Daphnia pulex: one gene and its partner. The protein of the gene in region 1 interacts with the protein of each later gene in a biochemical or structural test. Links are inferred from orthologs where the notes say so. Each region holds a gene or a part of one and is shown on either strand. Other genes may lie near its edges. The genes, in order: leucine-rich repeat serine/threonine-protein kinase 1-like and eukaryotic translation initiation factor 4E-binding protein 1-like.

What was found.
Region 2: of the proteins of leucine-rich repeat serine/threonine-protein kinase 1-like (region 1) and eukaryotic translation initiation factor 4E-binding protein 1-like, one has a biochemical effect on the other in vitro, tested with the Drosophila melanogaster proteins (2 studies listed by BioGRID). The link is inferred for Daphnia pulex from reciprocal best matches to the Drosophila melanogaster genes Lrrk and Thor.

The regions. Positions count from the first base shown.
Region 1 is NC_060026.1:7,733,443-7,737,133, forward strand, and holds the end of leucine-rich repeat serine/threonine-protein kinase 1-like, read right to left. Parts: intron 3,102-3,691; coding exon 2,924-3,101; intron 2,860-2,923; coding exon 2,786-2,859; intron 2,726-2,785; coding exon 2,603-2,725; intron 2,540-2,602; coding exon 2,300-2,539; intron 2,235-2,299; coding exon 2,065-2,234; intron 1,989-2,064; coding exon 1,725-1,988; intron 1,653-1,724; coding exon 1,330-1,652; intron 1,267-1,329; coding exon 1,202-1,266; intron 1,138-1,201; coding exon 814-1,137; 3' UTR 568-813; downstream 1-567.
Region 2 is NC_060021.1:10,711,484-10,715,034, reverse strand, and holds eukaryotic translation initiation factor 4E-binding protein 1-like, read right to left. Parts: upstream 1,881-3,551; 5' UTR 1,721-1,880; exon of another isoform or gene 1,697-1,720; intron 1,557-1,696; 5' UTR 1,548-1,556; coding exon 1,403-1,547; intron 1,273-1,402; coding exon 1,069-1,272; intron 1,010-1,068; coding exon 963-1,009; 3' UTR 626-962; downstream 1-625. Other genes in the region: NAD-dependent protein deacetylase sirtuin-1-like, read left to right, coding at 1-19, 84-274. UniProt on the Drosophila melanogaster protein: Repressor of translation initiation that regulates eIF4E1 activity by preventing its assembly into the eIF4F complex. Hypophosphorylated form competes with eIF4G1 and strongly binds to eIF4E1, leading to repress translation.

The DNA of each region.
Region 1 (3,691 bases):
GTGGTGGAATAATTGTTAATTCTTTTCTTATCATCGGCATAGCTTCCAGAAAATTTCGGGGTTTTGCGATTGGAAACGTCATACTGGCTCTGCGCGTTGTAGTTCGTGTAGAATGACTGTTATAGGTTCCTCCGTCTGTCGCTACTGGGTCAATCAAAAAATTTGATTTTATCGAAAATCATATCATCAATTGGATCGGTATTCGTAAATCGTAATTAGTGAAAGAATTAACATCCTATACACATTACACAGAACGACTATATAGTGGTTCGAGATTGCCATCTTGGATGACCGGATTTCCCAGATTGGAGCAACCTCAAACCGGAGGCATTGATATTGTCCATAGGAAGAGGCGGGAAGAGGGTACGAATGGAAGGACAGTCAAGGAAGGGAAGAAAGGGGTCGGTCCCTCTTTTTTTCACTCTCCCTTTGTCTTTCCATTCGTACACTTTTCTTATGGATGGTGTCAATGTTTGAGGTTGCTCCAATCTGGGAAATTTGACTATCCAAGGTGTCAACCTCGAACCACTATATAAAAATGTCGTTCTCAGTCGTTTTAAAAATAACTTCAGACTTTCAAAGTTTTATTTACTAATGAATACACAGGAATAAATCATGACATGTAAAGACAAATTTTACGGTGAAGTTTTACAAAGTGGTATCAATAACTGACTAATCGAAAACAATCGAATTTTTAAAAGAATAGCTTCGTCGGTTTGATCGAGAAACAAAGGTTAAAAAATAAATAAAAAAGTAAATACATGATTTTGAAATATCTGTCTGTCTGTCTGAAAATTGAAGTTAGTTTCGAACTTAAATCCAGTCACCAGCTCTCCATAAGAGGACTTGCATATTTCGCTGTCGCTCTGACATACTAGGAGCTGAAGAACTCTTAAGATGTGACCAAGATCCATAACGATGCAAAAGATTTCGATAGCCTTTGCCAATTGTTGCAACTAGTACAGACTGTTTTTCTTTGTCTCTGTCATAAGAACTAAGAGGAAGAATGAGACGGACTTCATCTTCATATGGGCGGAACACTGTTATTGGACGCAGGGATGACGCTTCAGCCACGATAAGGCAACCCCAAGTGGTTCCTATGTATAGTTCCCGACCTTGAACGGCAAGACTCGTTACCTGAATGCAAGCGAACCAAGTTAAACTTTTCGAATGTTCGAAAAATGTTTTAATGAATCCGTACCTGACATCGTCCTGGACTAAGATGCTCTTCAATGCTTATCGACTGTAGTGATTCAGAACAAGGGGCTGATTCAAGAAAACGAAAAATTATTTATACTACAAAAATAAACAAAAATAATGTTAACAAACCAAGTTTGGAACAGTCAAGACGATGAAGAATACGGCGAGTATTTGCACACCAACGATATACGACACACCCGGGATAAACGTACGACCACACTACTGGACTGGTAGTCTCTGCTAGATTTTCGTAATGAGTTTCTTCGTCATAATCGAAGACGTCAACATCGTTTTCGATTAACAAATTGTCGACAGCTACCATTTGGAGCACTTCCAACCCAGGCAAGACCGGATCGTAATGATTTATCACTTCTTGCCCCGTTACAACGCCTTCTCCCAAAACGAATACGCATATGCTACCCTGTGATTGTCCGCACCACAACTCCACTTTTCTATATGAATCGTGATAGCAGATTACTAAGTGAAAATATACTGCCTCTTATTATAATTCACAGTATATTTACCCCTTGGTAGTGGAGTAAATTGCAGCCATGCAGTGGAGTGGTGCCCCACTTCCACCAAGTCCGAGTTCAGTCATGACGAATGTTCCTTCACCTTGCGTCGACATTAACGGAATGAAATCATCGCGGCATAAAAAAAGACGACCATTAGCCAAGGCAACAGCTACTCGATGTAACAAAGGTAGATGTATAAGTCGTCGAATTGACGCAGTGCTAGAAGAATCTGGTTCAAGGGCGTAGCGGAAAAGACATTGGTATGTCCGAGTGCTAGACATTTCAATAAAGGATTCAAAGATCAATTGAATATTACAAATTAGTTTACGTGATATTAGAGATATCATACCTGAAACAGAAAATTTGTCCTCGAGCGTCTCCAAGCCACACAGAATCACCGACAAGACATGCAGCAGTAATTGGCTGATCTACTTCACTTTGAAGAGAATAATAATCCAGCCAAGAACCACATCCGTTTGCGATTTCGGGAGGCTGACTTGATGCAAGTAGAAGGTCAACCTAGATTGCTTTTTCCTATTAGCCACAACGTATGTATTAATATGCTAGTACTTCAGTAACATTACCTGGCAAGCGGTACTGCTCAACCAAAGTTCATGAAGAGATTCATCTGTGGTGTTGGGTACGGGGACAGCAACACCGTCCGTGCAAAATCCACTGTGGTTTAATGAGACGACATCCAACAAGTGAGTAAATTCAGGTGCTGAAGCGATAGATACTATCTGGGAAGCAGTCGGTCTGTCTTTTGGTTGTTGACTCCAGCACAAAACCATTAGATCAAGTAGATACACAGGATACGTTGCATCCTAAAAGATAGCAGAAAATAACATAACAATAAAAAAATTTTAAAATAAATACAAGGAACTCACCCGAGGAGAGATCGAAGGCCTTCCCCCTTCCAATATGAACTCTTTGACCGATTCATGGCTTTCAAAAGGTTGGCGCAAAGTGAGTAACTCATACAAAAACATTCCAAAAGAGAAACAATCCACCTGTAACGATCCATTAATCATGAATACTCAATGAAAAAGAAAACATTCAAATTTGTATACTTTGTCGGTGTACTCTTCTTCGCCATTAAATCGCATTATTTCGGGTGCCATGAAACCTTCAGTTCCTCCAAAACCTTTCATAATTTAAATCTCTCGTCTGAATTTTTAGCTTTAAATAACTTATCAAATATGTCCAACCTTTAGCTCCGGTAGGCAATGAAAGCCGGGAAATACCATAGTCGGCTAATTTTACATCAACTTTAGCGTCCGTTTCCCTTTCGCCGGGACCAGGTAAAGCCCACACTAGCACATTTTCTGATTTGAGATCGCGGTAGATGATTCGTTGTTGGTGCAAATACTCTAAAGCTTTTGCAATCTGGAGAGGAATTATGAGGATGATTGCGTTCATTAGAAAAAAAAAATATTGGAAATTCCACGTTAAAACGGACAAACCTTGCCACGGTCATACTCCCGATTTAATTGTTTTATGATAATCTTTTAATATAGGTTAAAATTAGATTTTTTTGTCAAAGGGTTTTGAAAAATAAGGGGATGTGCGGACGTAGCATCAATCTATATTTTTCGTGCACAGCTGATACTGTATTCATTTTCATTGCAATTTTTTGTATTTTAAACTAAAAGAAAAAAAAAACTAATGATCACAATGTGTTAGCGGAATTATAACTTTTAGAAAAAAATTGCGTAGATATCCAACCACCAAGGTGGCAGCACCATCGTTCCAAACGCTAGCTTTGAACTATGCGCTAGTTATGACATCGCATATTTTTTAAAATTTTTTATAACGGATCATTGTAGTCCGACATACAACAAAGATGGTTACCCTAGCTTCAGTTTTTAAAAAATAATTAATTCCATAAAATGCAAAGTGTCAAAATCATCGTTCTTTGAAAACTCACAGAAAAGAGGTTGATTTTTTTTTGCTTGAAAATGACACATTTTATAGCT
Region 2 (3,551 bases), on another chromosome or scaffold:
CTTGCCGATCAACTCCCAGGTAATTTATTTTTGTTCGGTTGTTGTCTATGTCATCTATATGCATTTCCTTGCATAAAATTCAGAAAACACTTATCTCACCGTCCAACCTGGTCGATACCTGTTTCCTGGTGCTGAACTCTTCTATGACCCAGACGAAGAGGTAGAGTCCGATTCTGACTCATCCTCTGATTCCAGCGATTCGTCTGGAATTGATGGAGGAGATTCAACTCAACCTTTCCCGGAGCATGGAGTAAAAAGGAAAGCGATGGATTGACGACGTATTCCGAAGCAACGACAAAGCTTCTGTTTTTACCATTGTTATGTTAACAATATGGATTCTATTTAAAAGCTTCAAGCGTGTGTATATAGACGAAATCTCTCGATGGTATTTAGTATTTCTTTTTTTTCCTGTATTATGGATAAGGGGAAGTGGAATTTTCATTTTTCTGTGAAATCTTGGCAAGCTGTTCTGAAATGTTCAGTGCAATCTACCTCACCAATCTTCAAGAAATAATGGCCATTATCTATTGCACCTGCAGAAAGGTGGTCGGCTATGTCGGGTACCGGGAGAGGGTGAGCATGAACTATTGATTAAATTTCAAATATTTCCCTTAAATTACTTTGAAATGTTCTACTAAATGTATGTATGTCTTGTCTGTATTCGCGTTTACACTTGTTCTGTATCCATCAATTTATTTGAAGCACAAAACAAATCCCCCACATAAAAAAAAACTTCTCCTTGAACCAAGAAGGGAAAATAAACCATGACTTCTTTTTCACTCTAATTTGATGTTCTAGTGAAATGTCATAAAAATCAACCATGTTAACTGGGAAAAAAAAATTCAATGCTTCTTACAAGCAGAAAAATTGCATCACTTTATCTTGATTTAGAACTTGTTTGCTGACCAAGTTCAAAGAATATTGAAGTCTACAGATTATTTGGATTTGTACTTGAAACAAATTCAAATATCCATTTCGAATTGAGGTTCTTCCTGTTTCTTGTCTTCAACTGCAATAGAATTAAGTATTATTAGATATAAATTCATAAAACAAGAAGTTTTTAAAAACCTTTTTCAATTTCAACAGTTGGAAGCTCCACAGGTTTGTGCTGTACAGTAACATTTTTCTGCCCATTGATCAACTTGGACTTCTCTTTGTGAGGACTATCGCATGTGACACCAGGAATTACAGGCAAGTTTTTGGGTGGAGTCCTGGCGACAGGGGAATTGCGCATTTGCAGCAAGAAATTCCTATCATAGATAATCTTTGTACCTAAAGAAACGAAAGGTGTGATGAATAAGCTCAAGAATAAAAAACTAAAGAATAACTGTTATTTTAGAAACCACACAGCTGTGCCTGTCATAAGGGCACACCAGACATCATAACACCCATTCCTAAATACCTCCAGGAGTGGTTGAATACAGAGTTCCATTGGGTGTACTGGAGTAATCATGTGGTAATTGACTGGCATCATTGATGAGAATTCGTCTTGGGATGGCTTGACCTTGGGGTTGAGCGGCCTGGCGAGCAATTGGTGACGCTGACATTTTGGCAGTCTAAAAAGAAAAATAGTGATAACCAAAATAATGAACTACCGCGTGGCGATCAAACATATGGTGTGTTGCTATGCGAAAATAAACTACCAAAATCTCATTATAACTAAATATTTAATGTCATGCATAGGACAACAACTTACTTAACACCATGTGTCTCAACTTACGGCGTATAAATGAAGAAGGCGTATGGCAGGTGATCTGGAAAAATTAAAACTCAGTCTATTATTTACAACTGGGAAGTGCGTCGAAACTGGAGAGCAATACGTCGCAAGTCCAGCACGATATAACTCGATTTTTTACGCAAGGGAAATCGATTACTAGTTTTTACGAGCACTACATATTACATATTTTAAGCGATAAAATGATAACAAATATGTCTGTATGGACTTATTTATTTTTCTTTTGGATAAAATAAAAAGATTTATAGAAGTAATTATATGTACGCCAATACTATTTGGAAAATTACTGAAGTTTCACAACAAGCAGATCTGCAACAAGTTTCCAAGGCAAGCAGAAGAAACAAGAAGCAGACAGACGACAACGCTTGTTTACATTATACCAGATTATGTTGTCGTTGTCTTTGTATTTCAATAAAAACCACTATGGTCTATTAACTGACAGTTAATAGACCATGAAACCACGTTGAAATATGGAAGAAAACTTTGATTAGAGAATCAGAATTTCATTATACAGTTTTTAAATAGAAGACTGATGCATTTTCAAGAGGAAAACTTCACTCACAAAGTCAATAAGTCACAATACGCAGAAACAAACCGAGATAGGAATGTTTTACGCCATCTAGTTTCAATATCCCGAAATCTTTAAAAAAGAAATATGATTTCAACCACATGTCAAATTAGTCAGTTTCAGCTACTTTGCACATCCCTGTCAAAATGTATCGGCAGTTGTTTTGTGGTAACTTTTTGGTGGTGACTGACGATAACTATTCCACCAACAAAGCTCACTTGTTAGTTAATTTTTCGATATATTTCACGGAGATGACGAATGTTTGGACTTTGGTTTATTTTCCGTCCTACTCGTCTGTGAATGCTAAGGGATGTCACTAGGTGGCTAAATATTTCAGTGTGTTTAGGGATTTAACTATTTAGCCCTGGATTGGTAAGGGGTCATCAAATTTTTGAGACGATATTCCATTCCACATTTCTTTTTCTTCAAGACGCCGTCCGAGAAGGTTACCTTAGCCATTGAGTTATGGCGGGGTACTTTCTTTCCTCACATTTTTCAATGGTAATTCCTGTTTTTTTTTCAACAAGGTTACTAAATTAAAATTTTGTGTGTGCCGTGTGATTAATTTACGTGTTACATGTTTAAAACTTTGTTTCTGATAGTAATTGAGTTTTAATTTTTCTATTAACAGTCTGGTGTGAGCTTCTTCATTGCATTACGTGCACGTGATCGCTGCCTCGTCATGGAGAGGGTCTCTACTGTTTTGCAAGACAAATAATACGTTGAAAAGAGGAAATTTAAAAAGGTAATTAAGTACTTGTAAGCTAAATCGAAAGGCAATTAAGTACCATTTTAGCATTTTGTTCTTGATGTCGGAAGACAAGTGACAACTTATTTCGGTTTTCCATGTAAGACCGCTTTTGTGAAAAGTTTTTTGTTAGTTAGTAATTAAACACAACCACAGAATTAGAATTTTGCTTGAATTTAAGTCTACATAAGTGTGCTACATATGCTTGTTCTTTGCTTAGAATTAACTTGGGTAGTACATAAAACTCTTGATTTATATTGTCAAGTACTGAATGCTTAGCTTTTGTGAAAAATCTTGATCAGCTTGTGTTGAGTGGGTTAGCAATTTGCTTAAATGTAAGTCTACATATTTGTGCCACATATGTGTTTGCCTATAATTAACTAAGGTTGTACATTGAACTCTTGATATTAACTTGACAGTTGAAAAGTACTTTCTGCTTCTAAATAAGACCTCGTGAAAAAAAGGCAGTTTGTGAAGAAATGAGAAATTTTTATCAAGTA